Linked DNA regions of Arabidopsis thaliana. The protein of the gene in region 2 interacts with the protein of the main gene of each other region in a pairwise test. Each region holds a gene or a part of one and is shown on either strand. Other genes may lie near its edges. The genes, in order: AGP5, AT5G42220, AT3G53980 and AT2G19080.

Evidence for each region.
Region 1: the proteins of AT5G42220 (region 2) and AGP5 interact in a two-hybrid assay, tested with the Arabidopsis thaliana proteins (one large-scale study listed by BioGRID).
Region 3: the proteins of AT5G42220 (region 2) and AT3G53980 interact in a two-hybrid assay, tested with the Arabidopsis thaliana proteins (one large-scale study listed by BioGRID).
Region 4: the proteins of AT5G42220 (region 2) and AT2G19080 interact in a two-hybrid assay, tested with the Arabidopsis thaliana proteins (one large-scale study listed by BioGRID).

What each region holds. Positions count from the first base shown.
Region 1 is NC_003070.9:12,915,186-12,918,553, reverse strand, and holds AGP5 (arabinogalactan protein 5), read right to left. Parts: upstream 1,485-3,368; 5' UTR 1,371-1,484; coding exon 969-1,370; 3' UTR 725-968; downstream 1-724. UniProt on the Arabidopsis thaliana protein: Proteoglycan that seems to be implicated in diverse developmental roles such as differentiation, cell-cell recognition, embryogenesis and programmed cell death.
Region 2 is NC_003076.8:16,870,330-16,878,592, forward strand, and holds AT5G42220 (Ubiquitin-like superfamily protein), read left to right. Parts: upstream 1-1,908; 5' UTR 1,909-2,165; intron 2,166-2,627; 5' UTR 2,628-2,632; coding exon 2,633-2,761; intron 2,762-2,855; coding exon 2,856-2,973; intron 2,974-3,277; coding exon 3,278-3,376; intron 3,377-3,468; coding exon 3,469-3,584; intron 3,585-3,678; coding exon 3,679-3,765; intron 3,766-3,940; coding exon 3,941-4,135; intron 4,136-4,222; coding exon 4,223-4,292; intron 4,293-4,364; coding exon 4,365-4,519; intron 4,520-4,650; coding exon 4,651-4,815; intron 4,816-4,892; coding exon 4,893-4,964; intron 4,965-5,035; coding exon 5,036-5,153; intron 5,154-5,230; coding exon 5,231-5,473; intron 5,474-5,546; coding exon 5,547-5,695; intron 5,696-5,778; coding exon 5,779-5,970; intron 5,971-6,091; coding exon 6,092-6,622; intron 6,623-6,846; coding exon 6,847-6,984; intron 6,985-7,063; coding exon 7,064-7,126; 3' UTR 7,127-7,148; exon of another isoform or gene 7,149-7,403; intron 7,404-7,772; and 2 more. Other genes in the region: AT5G42210 (Major facilitator superfamily protein), read left to right, coding at 171-239.
Region 3 is NC_003074.8:19,986,906-19,990,281, forward strand, and holds AT3G53980 (Bifunctional inhibitor/lipid-transfer protein/seed storage 2S albumin superfamily protein), read right to left. Parts: upstream 1,559-3,376; 5' UTR 1,299-1,558; coding exon 971-1,298; intron 872-970; coding exon 855-871; 3' UTR 657-854; downstream 1-656. Other genes in the region: AT3G53970 (proteasome inhibitor-like protein), read left to right, coding at 1-55, 155-227; AT3G53990 (Adenine nucleotide alpha hydrolases-like superfamily protein), read right to left, coding at 2,753-2,831.
Region 4 is NC_003071.7:8,260,745-8,266,041, reverse strand, and holds AT2G19080 (metaxin-like protein), read right to left. Parts: upstream 3,343-5,297; 5' UTR 3,225-3,342; coding exon 3,065-3,224; intron 2,511-3,064; coding exon 2,176-2,510; intron 2,074-2,175; coding exon 1,997-2,073; intron 1,909-1,996; coding exon 1,848-1,908; coding exon of another isoform or gene 1,770-1,847; exon of another isoform or gene 1,738-1,769; coding exon 1,593-1,737; intron 1,466-1,592; coding exon 1,296-1,465; 3' UTR 904-1,295; downstream 1-903. Other genes in the region: AT2G19090 (DUF630 family protein (DUF630 and DUF632)), read left to right, coding at 1-54, 141-864; SHT (spermidine hydroxycinnamoyl transferase), read left to right, coding at 4,084-5,047. UniProt on the Arabidopsis thaliana protein: Involved in transport of proteins into the mitochondrion.

The DNA.
Region 1 (3,368 bases), on a different chromosome or scaffold from region 2:
GACTAAATACTTTATTTTTTGTGATATTTTGTATTTGACATTCTTTGTACGAATACATATACGAGTTATAATTTACGTTTGAAATACTTTTGATTAAATACATAGCCTGGGTCGTTCCCTAGTATATTTATATGATCTATATTCTAATTGCTAAATTTTAAGGATTGTTATTTGTTAAATATGGATGTCATGTACAGTGAAAAAGCTAGCACAAGAATCATTGCTTTGACTTGTCTTCTTATTTGTACAAATGGTATTTCGAACTTGGAACAAGCATGAAAAAATTCACGTAGTAAACAAGAAAAACATTATACAGTATTAGTTTGTATTTAACGCTTAATTAAACAAAGGCATAGATACAACAAATGGTTATCATAATTGGTTCAATTAACTCATATCAGTAATTGTATTTTCTATTTTTCGTAGTTCCCATCATCATGAAATACTTATATTAATTTCAAAAATAAACTAATTTACATTGCAATTTCTAAAACTATAGTCTCGAACGAGTACGAAAGGGTCAATGTTTTGATCTTGACCTATATTTATTGGAAACGAAGACAAGAAGAAAAGAAACGGTCCGACACCGATCAACTTACATCACACGACAAATTAAATGCTCCATTCTAGACGCATATACACGTTGTCGCTAATCACTTCACTTTCATAATCTTTTCATTAACCACTCTTAAATCTTAATAACATCACCACCCACCAATTTAGCATGTAATTTTAATTTTAAGTTAATATTCAAGTAACTATGAATTATTCAAGTGACCATGAATTATTCAAGAATGCCAATAATCAAGGAAACTATAAAAAAATTGTAACAAATATAACACCAACAATAACACGATAATAAAGCATCATATAAAACACTATAAACTACATAATTAAATAGTAACAAAAGGACAAACAATGAACCCAAAAATAATTCCTAGTGAATCTATTCGATGGGTCAATAGCCTCTACAGCAACAAAGCGGCGATCACGGCCACTCCGGCGAAAGTTCCGACGAGGGAGACTCTGCTAACTGCAGCTGCGTTTGGAGAGCCACTTAGGGGAGACTGAGCAGGTCCAGCTTCTCCAGACGGAACATTTGTGCCCGGAGCTCCGGATGGGGAAGTAGACGTCGGAGGAGCTGGTGGAGATTCAGTAGGCGGCTGACTAACCGGAGGAGCAGTGGTAGGAGCTGAGGGAGGAGGATTGGCTGATGGTGAAGGTGCCGGTGCGGTGGCTCTAGGCGATTGAGACGGTGTAGGAGTGGCTGGCAAGGGAGATATGGTCGGAGCTGGTCCGGGAGCTTGAGCAACGACAGAGGAAGCCACGAGAGCGAGGAAGAGGAAAACGACGACGGATTTGGAGGCCATTGTTACGTATTGTTGAGAGGGTTTAAGAAATTAGTAAAGATATAGAGACAAAAGTGGGGTTTATATATATAGTGGAAGGGTTTAGGTGTAAAACCTTATTTTCTTGGAAATTTCAACAGCTATATAAATTTTTTTTACAAGTTCAACATAATACTTTTGAAAACAAGTCCAACATAAATATCGTTTTGGAAATAAGCCAAACAAATGACTAAAAATGTTTAAATAATAATGTGAAAACATATTTCTTATTTTGAGTAATTTGTTTGGCTTATTTCCATACTGATAGTTATGTTGGACTGAATTTCAAAATTATTATATGTTGAACTTGTAAAATATTTTAAATTACCTGTTATAGTTTCCAACAGCTACTCTTTTAATAGTATTAAATAAAGATTATTTGCATAATTTTGCTTCTCTATAATCTATATAATTTTATTTCTTTCTGTAAATATCCATTGTGGATTCATTACCGTTTTTTCCCGTCACTTCTTCTACACTACATTGTTCAGGCTTTTGGCTTTGGGAATCAAATCAGGGTGGATATGTGTACACATCAAAAGAAGCCAAGATAAAATCTGAGTCGTCGGATGGATTTAGTGAGTCTTCGTCGACCCCAACAAGAACAACGCGTTGTTTCCAAGAAAGTCTAGAGGAATGGGCGGCGTTCCAAAGCTGGCAGACTTTTTTTTTCTTTCCTTAGACAAAATACAAAACTCTATGGAAGTAAGTAAATTCAATAAAGATCACATGAGATCATAAGATTAAGCTTTCGAGATTAAATTAATTTATAATATTATGGACCAAAATTCAACTTACCCTAATGATTTTATTGCGTGGCCATTTCTTTTTGCCTTTTTTTTTTTGATAAGAAAAGTGTGCTTATTACAATATGATTTCAATGTGAATGAAAGCATTCTATTACCTGTCCACTAATATAGATTTATCCTATTATTTCCTATATTCTATTGGTTAAGAAAATAATGATTCCTTTTGGACGAACTTTCTTTTTTTATATATATATTATATCGGTTGATCTGATCAGTATCAGTAAAAATGCATCAAGGTGGTACAGAGTGGACATCTCCCGATCCAGGTAAAATTAGACCACCACACTATCTGATCCGATTTTGAGTTTGGAATATCTTTCGGCTAATGCCAGATTTGTCGGAGTATTTAAAGGCTTGCAACTATTCTTAGAAGATCTCTGTTCTATTTAACGTATATTTGTTTCAAATTTTCAATGCATAATTTGAACATTGTATTGTATGCAACTAATGCCTTTGTTGTTATTGCAATTTTTCAAAAATTCTTATATGTTTGGTGTCAATTATATATTAACCGTCCCACCATCAAGCGAATTAGAACAACTATAATTATATAAGTAACAAAAAATACTTTCGGGTTAGTCCACTGTAAGTTGAACCAAATTCGACTTTTCAACTCAAGTTTTTATACATTACTTTAGGTCGTTAATACGTCTCTTCGAAAACGATTTCAACAACACATTTTGAACCAAATGTTACTCTAGTATCGTCGATACAATGTTTGTGGTCAACTATTTAGGCAGTTAGGCTTCAGTAAAAACAAGAGTGAACATCTTGAATATACATTTAGTCAAGATACGAAAAAGTCTCCTACCTTCTATTGTTTTGAGAGAGCTTCAAAAGTAACCAAGAAAGCTACTTTAAGAAGGGAAGACAGAAATTAGTAACAATTATGCTAAGAAGTCGTGAGATAAAGTCTAGACAGCAATAATATACGATGTAACGTATTACCAAGAAGACCTACTAAAAGACGAAACGATAAGTATGACAAGCTGACCCAAAAACGAAATCTTATAGGTCAGCAAAAGAAAGGTGACGACATTTCGAAGAACGATCTAATGTTCGCGTAAATGAAGTAACAAAAGCCAATTTTTTTTATGATAAGCGAATCAAATAATATGGATCGAATTTCAGATTTAAGAAGAGGATTTATAAAGTAAAGAAACAATAAAGT
Region 2 (8,263 bases):
GAAAAATCACTAACTCATTCAGTTCTTTTTTTTTTGGTTTAACATTTAGTTATATGACAATGTATGTGAAACATATAAACCTTTTAATTGATTCCTCAAAGTTATATGAGTTGTTCGATTACTAAGAAAAATAATATATATAATGTCCGTTACTTTGTTTTTCTTTGTAGACTATAGCTTTCATCCAAAGCCTGATGATCAGAGCAGCAACACCAATATCAGTTATGGGATCTCCATAACACAGTTTCCTCAAAACCATATGGATTTCGTAGTGAAAGATAATATACAGGTTTTAATTGCATTGGTCGAATCCTTGATGTTTTTTTTTAACCCATATTGTGTACGGGTTTATGATATCTAAAGTCAGCAAGACACCAATAGCTTGTATAGGTTAGTCAATAACTCCTAGGGGAAACACCATATTTAATGGCCGTTTCAGTTAATTTAGATATCTTCTTTCTTTTTTTGAGTTCAAAGTTAGTTTAGTTGTCTAAAGCAACAAAATAGCTCCAATATTTGTATCATTAAATTTATTTATATACATCATAATTATTTTTGTATATATAGACATAATTGAAACATGTTTTATTATAATCTATATATACATTTTTGCAGCCATTTTGTGAAATAAATCCTTTAGTTGTGACTTATTTACAATGGCTGCCACTGGATTTTAATGTTTGTTTTTGATAATTAAAAAGAAAATATTCGAATTAAATATTTGACATTTAACAATCTTCCCAAAATATCTCCACATTAACTACACGATTATTTACTAAAATAATACTTCCAAAATATTTAATATCATTTAATTACTACAAAATTATCATTTTTGATATTGATTTTCTCCATAACTATAACAATTCGATTATAATCATCAAAGCGCAGAGATATAATCTGATAGCATTTAATTACTACAAAATTACAAAATATTTAGACAATGATTCATAAACATATCATAAATAAGATCAACATTAATAAAATAAATAGTTTTTTTTTTACAGGACGGGTTTGACAGGACGATACTTAATAACATTTGTAAACTATAAAATAAAATTATTTTATAGATAGATACAATTTGTAAACTTTTATATATACTAACTTTAAAAAATAAATTGTTCCCGCGGTATACCACAGGTTAAAATCTAGTTGTTTTTGTATTTTAACTAATAATGTGGACTAAACTTTAGGTGGAATACCTTTAGTTAACGGATCCGCTTTCATGAAATTTCTACCTATATGCTTAACTGAAACCACATCATCTTGAATCCTTTCTCACACAATATGACACTCTATGTCTATATGCTTTGATTGTTCTACTTTTGTTGTTGTTTGCATATACACTGCCGCAAAATTGTCAGACTAAACTTTAAATGATCTTTCGACACATAACCAACATGTAGTGTTTTTCACAGACTGTTCAAACCTAATGAATATAGTGTTTTCCCTAACCTAATGGCCGGTGTATTCTACAATTTTGAAAGATTTGCCTGAGTGACAATAAAAAAATCTCAAGCTTGTTTCTATCTCTAATCTCTTATACTGCAAATGTTAGAACGAATACTTTGGCACGAAAAATTCGTACTGAATCGCTTCATATATGTAAACAATTTTTTCTAAAGTTGACTCATTTGAACATTAATATAATTTGATGACAAAAAATAATAAAATAATAACCATTATTAACGACAACAATAACATAGATTCGTTTCAGTTATATGTAAACCATAATCTTCATGATTAATCCAGTTATGTGTAAACTTAAATACTTAAATATTAGAAATCAAAATTACATAATAAAACAGAAAAAGAAGCACATGTTTAAAATTTATTTTAGATATGGTTAAAAAGGCCAGGCCCAGCTTTATATTATTAATAGAAGAGTCCACATTTAGAGCGGAGACTAGGCCTATATTCGCGGAAGCGTCAATTCAGGTTTTCAAAACGTCGTCGTTGTATCTTCCTCCTCTAGATTCTTCTTTTTCTTTTCAATTTCACCAAAATCCCGAGTTCCCGACACAATCGCCCTTGTTCTTCCCCTTTAACTCTGAACACATCAGGTTTGGTTTCGTGTTTCAACTTTGAGATACTTCTCTAGATTTCAATCGGAGAGTCTTTTGTTCCGCCAAAGTTTCAATTTTTCAATACCCCACGACGGCAAATAGGTTCGTTCTTCGTTGCCTTCATGGAATTTGATTGTTTTTTTCTTAAATCTTGATCCTTTTTTTCCGTATCTATAGGCTCTGTTTTTGCCTTAGCAGATTTGTTTTTGGGTTTGGACGGTGAAAGTTTTGATTTTTGAACAGTGATATTACAATGACTTGCATTTATTTGGGTCTGGGTCTTTTGTTTGTGGCTTTGGATGGTGAAAGTTTTTGATTTTTAGCATTTTTATTACAATGACTTGCATATATATAGGATTTGGTCTTTTGTTACAATGACTAGCATTTAGTTATGTCATTTGTTTGTGTCTCATTGTTGATTCTGTTTTGTATGATCAATATCTGGAAATGTGTGTGGTAAAGGTTTTGATTTGAGTACCCTAGAGATAATATTGTTTATTATGAGATCATTCTTTTGTAAGATGAATTTACAAGCTTTATGTTTTTTAAATTTTAATACTTTAGGGTTCATGGAAGATCAACCCATTAACCAGTGCTCTAGTAGCACCAATGCGTCGGAGAAAACTCCAGAATCAACCCTTGAGCTTAACATCAAAACGTTAGACTCGCGGACGTATACTTTCCAAGTGAACAAGAATGTAAGAAATCTTCTTCTTCTTCTGCTTCACCTGCATATTTGCTTAAGTTTAGTTTGCTTATATCTGATACTGCTTAGGGCTTGACTTGTTGCAGGAAACTGTTTTGCTATTCAAGGAGAAGATTGCTAGTGAGACAGGGGTGCCGGTTGGTCAGCAGCGGCTCATTTTCCGAGGACGGGTTTTGAAAGATGATCATCCTCTCTCGGAGTATCGTATCCTAGTGCTAGCGACTTTGTTAACTTGTTGATTTTATGTTATAGTGTAGCTGTTTGTTGCATTATGCCATGTGCCCTGTGTATAAAATGCATGTTAACCAAATCTGTCGGAAGTCTAGTTTTTGATTGATCAAGTGCATCTCTGCTTTTGTGAGTCTTACACCGTAGAGGAAGCTGTAATCCAGAAAGAGAACTATATATATATATATACCTTCGATAAGCTTAGTTTTAGTTTATGTCTGTCGTTTCCTTCCATCGCTTTTCTACTTTCAGTATAGTTGATAACTTGACATCGTCATAGATTTGGAAAATGGGCATACTTTACACTTGATTGTGAGGCAGCCAGCAGAATCAGCTCCTTCCTCTGGTACACCTTCACAAGGGGCAACTGCAAATGATGGTAATCAAGTTATTTTTTATCCCCTTTCTGAGTTTTAAAAGAGCTGTTAACACAACCATCATCTTATTTCAACTTGTTATTTAATTCAACAGGAAATAATACAAATGGTGGACCATCTCGAAATGGAAGACATGTCTCCCACAGCGTAGTTCTTGGGTCTTTTAATGTTGGAGATCAGACAGAAGGCATTGTTCCAGACCTCAGCCGGGTAATCCCCAAGGATTTGTGATATTGTTTGGCCTATGGGATGGTTTGATTAGTTAGGCTAACCTGCTTTTAATTTTGTGTTGCTAACTACTAAGGTCATTGGAGCAGTTCTAAATTCTTTTGGAGTTAGTGGACAGCTTCCTACAAATCACAGTACTAATGGCACGCAATCCTCTATGCCCGTGAGTTTTTTTCTCGTCACTCTCTATTTCGAATTTATTCCATATTAGTGCTTAGTCTACATTAAGGATTGTTGAGAATCAGGTGTTGTTACTATTTGATGTGTAAGGTTTCATATTGTCATCAACTATTGCCTGTTTCTAAACTCGATGTTGCATGCGCTTTTATTTTTCCTAGTCGAATCAGTCGTCTAATGCACCTCCTGGAAATACATCTGATGGAGAGCCTGGCATTGGTGGTCAAAGCCAAGCTACGGGTCATTCACAACCTAGGCAAGCATTTCCTGGTGTATCATTTCAAACATCGATGCCTCGTGTAGTTCAGATTCCTGTTACAGCAGCCACAACGATTCCTATCCCTTCATTCTTAACGGTAGTTCTTAGTCACGTAGTAGTATTTTGATCTTGAGACTAGAGCTTTAATCTTGTCATTTTACAATGTAACTCTCTAATTCTGCAGCCTATTCCGGATTCCTTAGACACTCTAATGGAGTTCATTAATCGGATGGAGCAGGCATTATCACAAAATGGTATTGTGATCTAAGTTTTATTGTCATATTGGATAGAGAACACATAAATAAGTTAATTGGATGTTCCTCCAGGCTATCAGCCAGATACCTCTTCTGCTGGATCCGGAGGGCGACCAAGGGAAGAGTTGCCTAGAAATAGACGAGGTGCAGCAACACCTGAAGCACTCTCTGTTGTCCTAAGGAATGCACAACATTTACTGAGTGGTCTCGGTGTCTCTTCTTTATCGGTAAACACCTTCTTCACACTGCTTATTAATTGATTCCATTCTTTCTCTTTACAAGAACTGTTATGTATATGGTTACCATGCATTGTCATCTAATTATGTGCTGTTTGTAATTTGCAAAAACATTGTTGTAGCATATTGCGGGACGTCTGGAGCAAGATGGTTCATCTTCAGATCCTACTCTAAGGTCACAAATCCAGACAGAGGCCGTGCAAGTAGGTCTTGCCATGCAACATTTAGGGGCCCTCCTACTGGAGCTTGGACGCACAATTTTGACATTGAGAATGGCACCGTCGCCGGTGCGTTTTGGGTCATTCCTTTCGTGCATTTTCCTATTCATTCTTGACATGCGGCTCATTAACACTTTGATCTACAGGAATTATCCTATGTGAATGCAGGGCCTGCTGTGTATATATCTCCATCAGGACCGAATCCTATTATGGTTCAGGTAAGCTTCTAGTCTCATCTTTTTTCTAAATTAATTTTCTACTTTTATGTAATTATTACTGTATTTTGCAGCCTTTTCCTCACCAAATCAGCCCTCTCTTTACTGGTGCTACTGTCTCATCAAATCCACTAACCGGACCTGTTGGTTTAGGAACTGCCCAAAGGCACATTAATATTCACATACATGCTGGTGGGTGAAGTTCACTTTTTTGCTATTGGACTTAGCTGCACAATTCTTCTCCATTAAAATTCATACTTAATTACCAGGCACATCAGGTTCACCTATGTTGTCATCAGTTGGGAACCAGCGAAGCAATGGAGAAGGAGGACAAGGAGACCGTGACAGCAATACAAGTTCAGTTCCTGCGGCTGTTCCATCACACTCTACCGGTGAGAACGTTTCTGCTGGGGTTCAACCTGGTTTGGGTGATGATGTTTCAGTTGCTCAAATCAATGCAAGGATAAGAGATATGGTAAACATTATGCAAGGAAGAGACCAGATTCCATCGGGTAGGTTTCCTGCTGACTAAAGTTTTACATTGTGGACGAAATGTTTTCAAGCTCTTCTTCACGTGTCAATCAGGAATAGAATCTCTCGAGAGGGATATGTCTACGGGCCATGGTGTTGCCACTGCTATGCCTGAGCAGCCTACCAACATTGCAACTACTTGCGCACCTGAGTCGTCTAGTGGCTCACTGCATGACTTACCATCTGAGAGGAGCAACTCAGTGGTATGTCTTCTCTGCAATCAGATGATTCTTTATTTTATGTTCACCAGGGTTAGCCTACCACTAATTTTTGTTTTTTCAACCAGTGTCAAAATGAAAAAGATCTTGGTGGAGATTTAGAGCATCCAGCCCGAGCAAAAGATACCTCTTGTACTACAGGACAATCATCAGCTCCGTCTGGAGATGCTACCGGTGATGCCAAAGAAACCAATAAGGCTACTCCAGAGGTAGCTACAGCTACACCACTTGGATTGGGGCTTGGCGGTTTAGACCGTAAGGTAATGAATCAGTTGAAAAATAAGCGTCAAGTTGCTGCTGCTTGTTTTTCATTGCATAGCATATCCACAAGTGTCATAGTTCCAAATGCTTACAGTCATAGTATGTTTTTTTTGGTTAAAGAAACGAAGCAAGCAGCCGAAGGTATCAGGTAAGACTGAAGATAGCGGGACTTCAGCTACACTTGAAGGTGTGCAACAAAGCAGTGGGACCAGTGGTCAGCAGCTTTTGCAATCTCTCTTTTCTGGTAGTTCTCGTTCAGATGAGACTGGTCTTAGACGCGGGCAAGGTTCAGATGATCGTGTAGATGTCTCAAGTGCAATGTCTCAGGTCCTGGAGAGCCCTGTATTGGATGGATTGCTAGCAGGGGTATCTCGACAAGCTGGTGTTGATTCACCAAATATGCTGAGAAATATGCTCCAGCAGTTTACCCAGAATCCACAGATCATGAACACAGTCCAACAGATTGCGCAACAGGTGGATGGGCAAGAGATAGAAAATATGATGTCAGGTGGAGCTCAAGGCGAGGGCGGCGGCTTTGATTTCTCTAGAATGGTCCAACAAATGATGCCTCTAGTCTCACGTGCTTTTAGCCAAGGAGGGCCATTGCCTCATCCCGCAACAATACAGCCTGATGATCGTCAACCTTCTCAGGTACATCTACGAGTGTTAGGTTTGGATTTCTTGCGTTTTTGATTTAGGAAAAAAATGTGGCTGAAGAAAAACTGATACTATTATCGACTGAGTAGGATTTTGTTGTTGTCTTTTTTTAGTTGTAGAAAAAGTAACACCATTCTTACCTAGGTATTACAATAAACGTCATTGTCTCTTGTTCTATCTCGTGTAATGAATGTTATTTTTCTACTTTTTCCAAATAGGTAAATGTTCAATCCATGGCTCAAATGATTGAGCACTCTGATCCACCAGAGGATGTCTTCCGTGCAATGGTCGAAAATGCTGCGATAAGCCAAGACGAACTAGTGAACGAGCTTTGCTGTGATGAAGCTCTTTCTCAAGTAAGCATCAAAACTGACTAGTTTGTTTGTTTAATAAAAATAAAGACTCCTTGATCAGACTTGTATTTGAGTGTTGCAGGAATATGCGGAGTTGCTAAGACGTGATATCGAAGGCCGGCTAAAAGATGATCAAGGTCTATAAGATATTTGGTTGAATTGGTTCTGTAAGTGTCATATCTTTGAAGTATCTTTGTTTATTTGCTGAGATCCCTCACTTATGTATTAAGAATTAGGGTTTGGGATGGTCTATACTCTGCTAAACATAAGCAAACGTAATTTATCTGGTCTCTAAAGGGCCGATTCAATTTGATATTTCCATCTTTAACCAGAGATTACTCATAACTCTCGACATTGACCAAATTACTTGGGAAAAAGGTGTCCCTTTATAACTGACAATTTTGGTTTTGATCGAAAATTTGGCTAAAGGGCTACACTAACGAGTGACTGTAGCAAATTATATATTTAGTTTAATTCCTTAACAAATAGGTAATAAAGATTGCACAATAAATATGGAATGTAAACTAATAAATAGTAGAATAATTCAGAAAAATGAACTGTCACGACAACCCCAATAATAAGATGTTATATATTATTTAATTTTTATAAAAAATTATATATTATAAAATTTACTATGAATTTTTAATATGTTTAAAATTACAAAGTTGTTGTGTTTGTTTTGTTGTACAAATTTATAATTTTGGATTATGACAAATTAATAATATTGTTTTATTTTATATTTAATTTCTAAAAGATTATTAAAATTTGTTTTATGGTTTTACGTATTCAAGGGTTGTGAACAATTGATCACCACCGGAAAAATTAAGGATGACGACAAAATTGAACTAAAACATCATGGGTTCAGAGATTTTCAAGATCAGCGAGCCATGACTTAGCGACATCGGAGATCATGAACATTCCTAAGACAAGCTGTCTTTTGTGATGAGTTTTGCAAATAATTGTTTCATCGCTAATTTTTCTTACTTATGACTTTTCTAGAGTGAAAAAGACTAAATTTTTAATTATTATTAGGACCCAAGTTCGAGATTTTCTAAAATAAATCTCAAATGGTTCACCAAGATATTGCAACGTTTGTATTTCATCCAAATTGAGCGAAAAATGAATAAATGTTGCAATTCCTTCATTTGAAAAGATGCAAAAGAGAAACATCGATTGTGTCAAATCAAACCAACTTCAATTATGGTATGCTTTGTGCATTTCACTCTCGATCTTTTGAATATTCAAAGTCGTATGAAAACTAGTTATGTTGCTTTTAGTAAAT
Region 3 (3,376 bases), on a different chromosome or scaffold from region 2:
TTGATCCTTATGGTCCACCCGGTGTTCCAGGTTTTGAGCCAGGCCGGTTCACAAGGTAGTAATCTTATGCACTCAGTAGTCTCCTTACTACACTCCACAATCATAATCTGTTTCGCAAATGGTTCTGATTCTTCTTTATATCAATCGTGTGTAGACAACCTCCAAGAGGGCCAGGAGGTGGGCATCCAGACCTCGAGCATTTTCCCGGCGGTTCAGATTTTATATAGTAAAGTAAAGCCATCGCCAAGGAAATAGAGAAAGTGTGTGCACAACTTAAAGTATGGTAGTAACTACATATAGACAATAGGATCTATGTGGTTTGTTTTTTCTCAGCTGTTTTTTTGTTTGGTGGTGTTGTTGGTTTTATTCCCCAGCACACTTTTTATAACTTCAATAAATATATAAATAAAGACTTGGTTTATTTCGCTTTTAAATTTCCGTTGGCCAAGTCAGAATCGGTCGTCATATAGATTATAGACAATGGCTTGACTATATTTGAGAAATTGAAAACTATAGCATCATCTCTTATTGCTTCGTGTTAGATGAGTATATATTGGTGATAGATCTGACTTGTAAACTAAGTCGTACTAGTGTTTGCCAAAACGACACTAGTTTAAACAATGTCAAATTTTCAAGCACAAAGTTGGATACTTGTGTTTCTGTAATTTGAAATGTAGAGTGGAATCATTTTTATATATTTATTGATATAGGTTCAATAACAACAATCACACTGATACACATATAAACATTATCGTTATTCATATATTATAAGGTACATGGAGACGTAGTAGTAAACTCCAAGCTTCCACATAAGGCCCAATGTTATCTCCTTCATCCTTCTAATCGTCAACATTTTATGGAAGTGTGTATGCTATAACCAAAGGGAAAAAAAGAAACAAAGAACATTAGATATATCATGAAAATTATTAAGTAAAAGCATAATATAAAGATGTAACAGAAAGTCACTTACCTCCACACTTGTAACCGACGGGACGGTTAGCGAAATTGCACCGTTTAGGGATGGTAAGGGCAACCTCAGGATCGACACCGGAGGCTTTGGCCGTGTCGGAAAGAAGAATGGCGCAGAGACATTTAGGGTTTTGAGAAAATCTCTTAATCTGAGTACAGCAACCTCCTGGCACGGCGGAGTTAGCGTCCTGAGCTGCACCAGCACATGGAGCCAGCTTCATCGCCTCATTGTCTGGCGAAGATCTACCACACTCCCCTGCACCGTCAACGACTGTTCCGATGAGGAGAATCAGACCAAGAATGCAGAGAAATTTCATGGAAGCTGCCATTTTGTTTCTTGGAGAGATTTTAAATGAACCAAGATTTGTGTTTTTTTGTTTGTTAGTTGTGTGTTTGAATTCAATTAGTGAATGTTTGGTTTATATAGCGGAAAATTGTGTGGAAATTTGAGGCACTGAAGAGATAGTGGAATAAGCACTTGAGTTGAGTGAGGGAGGTAGTGTTCTTACCAACAACATAAGTTCCAGGTGTTGATGTCTTAGGGATCACTGAACAAACCTCATAATTCTTATTTGGGATTATCAAATCGGATGGTGGATTTGTGGGAGTTGTGTCATCACCGTCCTTATGGCTTTTAAAATGGTGCTAATGGGGTAGATTAAAAATGAGTTTTGTATTGATTTTTTTATTATTATTGGTTAATGTGAAGTGAAACGGATGAAACATTCTTGATCTCTATTTAACAACTTTGAATCTTGGATGCTTAGTATCACTAAGATGGTCCAACACTGTGTTTTAGCCTTATAGGAGAATTGAATATGTTAGACCTTCTGAGAAGAAGCTCGAATTTATTCAAGTCAAAAACCTTGTACCACAAGTTAATTACATAAGTATAAAGAGCATAGAGGATGAAAACCAAAGAGAGACAGACAACTGTGAGACTGGCTCTGTCTATCTATTGTGTTGAAAGACCAAGATTTGGGCAGAGGGTTTGGCATAAACTAAGGTAAATCAAATTCAAGGACTAAACAAAATCGGTTAATGGTTTAGTTGGGTTCGTTACAGAAGCGGATTGCGTTCTTAGTAATGTTGATAAAGTTTTTGCTCTGTTTCCGTTGAAACTAGAAATTGGGTTTCAATCCCACCGGCCCGTATAACTTCGGCCCATGGTTCTGATATTTCACTTTACTTTGTTGTTTTTCTTCTTCTGTCTTGATGATCTTCTAAACTTTCTACGATTTGTCTTGGGTCTCTGTTTCTAGTAAGTTTTATCAGATTTCGAAATGGATCGTGCAAAATAAATAAATATAATTACCACGGTGATCTATCTATTTATTAAAAAAAAAGTAGAATATTAATATTTGATGTAAATATCTTTCTGTAGAATTTTTCCTTAAGAAATATTCTAATATTTAGTCAATGATCAATGTGAATGAATCCAACCTGCCCATGTGAAATCTGTACCACAAACTTATTTTTAAGCAATATATTGGATATACAAACTATTTTTAATCGAGCCCACCACATGTTCAAGCAAATCACATGGAGTGATTCCAGCAAAACACAAGGAATATTAAATGAAACAAATAAGCAAGAAACTCTCAAAACTAGAAGATGAAAACACTCTGGGTTCTTTTTTTGTTGTAGTCAAATTACAAATAAAACCAACATAAAGATTCTTTTATTAATAAAAACTAAAAAGCATAAATTGCGATGATTATTTGGTAGGACTTATAAGATAAAGACAGTTTTTTTTTTTTTTTTTTTTTGTAGTGAGAATCGTTTATTCGTTATCCTTGACAACGGTGACAGGGCAAGGCGCGTGTTGGATCACAAAGCTGCTCACGCTTCCCATTATTATCCTGTTTCATTATTTTCAATTATTAGTCACTAGATATTTCACTTAGACCAAAAGATTAAAGTTTAGAAGAATTCATCACTAAAAGATTACCAATGATAATTGTTACGTTAAAAATATCAAGAATAAATCAAAGACAAGTGTTTATTCAAAAAAAAAAAAAAAGACAAGTGTGCTAAAAACAAAGGTGTAACCACAATCTTAAATGTTTGTTTTTTTCTTAATTATGAAATAAAGACAAAATTCAAAGTTAAAGCTAAACCTAAAACCTAATCCATAGCTAAAGCTAAATCTAAAACCTACCATTGTCATTTTCAACTAGACCTTATCCATTTCGTTGAGAAGTAATTGTCATCAAAATTTTGAATTTACCATATTCCTCAAAAGTATATATGTTTAATTAGATAGACCAAAAAGACAAAAATAATTTGTCAACCAAAATTGTTCAAAGTAAAGCGAGATGGTTTAATAAATTAAACCACGGATTCAAAATCAAAGCCATTGGTATTAAACATTGCCTTAAATTAGGTAACGAGCGTTTTTTAATCA
Region 4 (5,297 bases), on a different chromosome or scaffold from region 2:
CGAGACTCTTCGTGACCAAGAACTGTTGCCTCAGCTTCTTGAGCTCGTTGAAGGGTAACAACACCAACAACTTCTTTTTCCTTCTCTTCGGTTTCACTTTTAAGCCTCAGACTGACAAATGGTAATCATGATCATAACAGATTAACAAGGATGTGGAAAGTAATGGCGGAAAGTCACCAGATACAGAAACGAACACTAGACGAAGCCAAACTGTTACTTGCAGGCACACCGGTTTCAAAGCGTCACAAGAAGAGACAACCTCCAATAATGCCAGAGGCTATTAACTCTCAAAGATTAGCTCAATCTGCTTTGAATCTTGAAGCTCAGCTTCGAAACTGGAGAACCTGTTTTGAATTCTGGATCACCTCTCAGAGATCCTACATGAAAGCATTATCTGGTTGGCTTCTAAGATGTTTCAGATGTGATCCTGACCCCGAAAAAGTTAGATTATCCTCATGTCTTCACCCGATATACCGAGTCTGCATTCAATGGTCAAGGTTGCTTAACAGCTTGAATGAAAAACCAGTTTTGGACAAACTTGAGTTCTTTGCCTCAGGGATGGGTTCAATATATGCAAGGCAAGTTAGGGAAGATCCAAACTGGAGTGGAAGCGGGTCAAGGAGATACTCCGGGTCAGAAAGCATGGAGCTTGTAGTGGCTGATAAGGGAGAAGAAGATGTTGTGATGACTGCTGAGAAACTTGCAGAGGTTGCTGTGAAGGTTCTCTGCCATGGAATGTCTGTTGCAGTTAGTTCACTAGCTGAGTTTTCCATCAACTCGGCCGATGAACACTCGAAGCTTGTTAGCCAACCAGCAGACGATGCGTCGGAGCAGCAGCCCCCGGATGTAAATTTCAATTCCTAGTACTTGTTATTAATTTTGTTTGGTTTTAGAGAGTTTAGAATTAGGTAGGTTTTTGGCATCATCTTTTGCTATCAGAAGATAGTTTCTTAGATGGATGAGATTTGTATTATTTAGTAAGACAAATAGAGTTAGTTCAGTTGATTCTGAGGATGTGTACCAAGAGTCTTCTAATGTTCCTCGGTATTTTATCCGGTGAATCGGTTCCCATGATGTGCCTTAAAAACCAATGAAATTTATATAAAAGCCAAAAGCTCTCCTTCAGAACGAAAAGTCGAAAACCATTATAATGTGACTAAATCTCACATCTGTATCCTCTCCATAACTAAGAGTTCAAGAAGAAAAAAGCGTAGAGATTACTGGTTATGTTTTTATCTTAGTCTCAGAGAGTTCGCCTGAGAGTTACCGGTCCATTTAATAAGAAAAGCTTTAGTTTAGTCATCTTCATCTTCATACTCCAGTTCATCAGAACTACCTCCTCCCATCACTGATACGTAAATGACGACAGCTAGAAACTGAGCAGCTAGAAAGAACCTTGCTCTTTTCTTAAATTTTTTCTCCTCTTCGGTCTTTTCTACCTTTGGTTTGCTCTTTGGCTTCGAACCTGAACAAAAGATGAAATTCACTTCCTTCACAGGCTTAAACATATCCAATGAATGTTGCATATATGACAGATATATAATATGATGAAATATATATGATATGGACGTTGAAGGTTAGATGTGTCTTACTCTTTCTTGGAAATGAGGAAGGGAATGAGTGAAGTGGAGGTGAAGGAGATGAAGAAGAGGCTTCAAGGAACTCTGACTTAAGTTTCTCAGCATATCGCACAAGATTACTATGTTCCAGAAGTTTGCACCGAAGCACTGATGTAACCTGATCATGCACCATTAAGAAAACTACTTCATCTAAATAGTTCTAAGGCTAAATTCAACCTGATAAACCCATAACTGAGAAATATATTGGTGAAATTTAAAGCTGCTCACTGGTAACGCTTGGATTATAAAAAGTATGTGCGAGAGTAAGAAAGCATCCAAACTCGATGGCCTGTGGGAAGAGAATAATATAAACATTGTCAATCTTTTACAAAAAGGCTTAAGGGAAAGAATCCAGTTCCGGAATGTGATTGCAATACCTGTCTTCAAAGAGAAACTTCTGCTCACCTAACCTAGTCGACAAAGCTTCATATGCCTCACTTGCTCTCTTGTATATCTGTTCACATTTAAGACTATGAACTTTAATAACTAGTTCAAATGCTCACAAATATAAACCACAGGTCTTCTAAAGTAACAACAAAACTTAAACAAACCCGACCTGTTTTTCTCTTTGCTCTGCGTTCTCTTTGGTGATTCCTAAACGGTTCTTTGCCAAGTATGTCTGCTTATAAAACAGGACCTTGCTGATCACCCAAGGAAGATCTGAATAGTAGATTTTCGATGTAGATATCCCCTCGGTACCAACCCATATCTCATAGGTAAGCGCTTCTTCTAGCCAAGACACAATAAGAGCCTTCAAAGATAAATAATCCGAAAGAGACTGTAGCTGAGAGTCCAGATTAACAATCCCATCTTTCTTCAGTTTTTCAATTACTCCTCCATCTTCATTGTTATATGCAACATATGTATCACTTTCAAAGTACGGCAGTTCATCTATATTAAAAACAAATGATTAACATTGTCAATACACAAGCTTATAAATATTGAATGCACAAATTTGTAAATCCGTGAACAAAGGATTACGAAGTGTCTAGAGATATTATCAAACATAACATAGAAATTCTGAAGATATTGTTAATATACAAACTCAATAGCTAAATCAAACAACTAATTTCTTCTGAACAAGTATGAAACATCATCATTCTCTTCGAATTAACAATTACGATAACGAGGAATTCAACCAAAGCTATAACAAGAAATTATGATGAACACTTCCTATCCAGAAAAATTCACCAATGCATATATACACCTCAAAATTGAATTACTATTGCCTAAAAACCCTATCTAAACTCTGATTAACCTAAGAGCAGGATCTTAATAGTACGAATTCGAATCCAGAACTCAAAATTATCTTGTCTAGGATTCGAATCTCAATTCAAGCTAATAGAATTAACAATGTTCACTTCCAACAGATACACATCACGCAACCAAAACCTTAATCTAACAACAACCAAAATACGAAGCGAGGAATCAAAACAGAAGCAAACCTGAATCAGGGAAGGTTGAATTGAACGCAAGTTCAAAAGGTAGCTGGGCTAATTTCAGGTATATATAAGCAGGAAGACAATTAGGGCAAGCTGTTGGGAGATCGAAGGAAGGCTTCCTTGCCACCAAAGTATAAACATTCGTCTCTTGATCGCCTTCCATTATAGTGACTCGTATGTGTGAGAGCTCTGGTCAAAAGAAGAAGAAGTACTCAAGTAAGTTCGATCGTCGATAGAGAGAGATGGGGCGAGAAGAGAAGATCCAGTCGAGTCCGGGTCTGGGTTAAGGTTTAGTCGGTCGGGTTTAAAACTAGGGTTTATTAATACGATAACTCATTTTGGGCTTTAAAAGGCCCACAAATTACCCATTAAGACAAAACTACTGGAGGAGGAGACTCGGAGAAAGTGGAATTGTTTTCTCCTTTTTGTTAGTTTGTAAAAACTAAAATTACTGTGTAACAGTGTAAAATACATCATCCACATTTTTTTTCTTCAAGATGACTTTATAAAAATAAACTCAACTTAAATTCAGAAGATATAATCAAAACTGGCGATGTGGGCTTTTGAATTTAATGCTATGAAGTTAGTATTTTGGATTTACCATTTCTTTTTAGAGTTTATGATATATACTTAAGGATTTAGTTTAGAATTTATACTTTGGAATATACTTGCATAAAAAAGTATAACACATTCCCTAATAGTGATATGAATTTTATGTTATATGTTCTTACCTCGTTTTTTTTCATTTTTTCGTGGAAATATATATTCATCCACAATGTGAACAAAATAGAGAAGAAGGGTAATACGCGTGATCATATACAACCAACAAAACTAAACCTTATTCTCACTTCCACTAATTAAGCTGCTTCGAAGGAAACAAACTAAACCACGAGAAAAACATTTTTGAATTTTGACTAACAGCAAGAAAAATTCGTTGAATCCATATGATTCTGTGTACTATATAAACATTACTTTAGCACGAACTTCAAAAAGAGAAGAGAAAAAGAAAGGGGGTTTGTGTTATGGCTCCCATAACTTTTAGAAAATCTTACACTATAGTACCGGCCGAACCAACGTGGAGCGGTAGGTTTCCCTTAGCCGAGTGGGATCAAGTTGGTACAATTACTCACATTCCCACCCTTTACTTTTACGACAAGCCATCTGAATCTTTCCAAGGCAATGTAGTCGAAATCCTAAAAACCTCGTTGAGCCGTGTGCTAGTCCATTTTTACCCTATGGCTGGCCGTCTCAGATGGCTCCCTCGGGGACGGTTCGAGCTCAATTGTAACGCCGAGGGAGTGGAATTCATTGAAGCGGAATCTGAGGGGAAGCTTTCGGATTTCAAAGACTTCTCTCCTACGCCGGAATTCGAGAATCTTATGCCGCAAGTAAACTATAAAAACCCTATCGAAACGATTCCTCTATTTTTAGCTCAGGTAACCAAATTCAAATGCGGTGGAATAAGCCTTAGCGTCAACGTTTCCCACGCGATCGTAGATGGCCAAAGCGCGCTTCACTTAATATCGGAATGGGGAAGACTCGCGCGCGGTGAACCGTTAGAAACCGTTCCATTTCTAGACCGGAAAATCCTCTGGGCTGGTGAACCGCTCCCACCGTTTGTGTCGCCCCCAAAGTTCGACCACAAAGAGTTTGATCAGCCACCGTTTTTGATCGGAGAAACGGACAATGTAGAAGAGAGAAAGAAGAAAACGATTGTGGTGATGCTACCACTGAGCACATCTCAGCTGCAGAAGCTACGAAGTAAAGCCAACGGAAGCAAACACTCTGACCCGGCGAAAGGGTTTACAAGGTACGAGACCGTCACCGGACACGTGTGGAGGTGCGCGTGTAAAGCACGTGGCCACTCTCCGGAGCAACCAACGGCTCTAGGAATCTGTATAGATACTCGTAGTCGGATGGAGCCACCTCTGCCACGCGGCTACTTCGGCAATGCTACTCTTGACGTGGTCGCAGCAAGCACCTCAGGTACGTGTTTTTTCTTTCTTTTCTATTACTATCCATAGAAATTTTGTTTGTTTTGTGAATTTGAATACACTTCTTCAAAATTTAATTTAGTCCTCTAAACAAAAATTATGATTTTGTTCATTACTTTTATATTCCAATTATATATATTATTTATTTATTAATTTTTTTCAATTCAAAAATATTACAAAATATTGTAATTTGTTTATCTTAGAATTCGTGTCAAAAGACCGTCAAAACGACTCTTTTATGA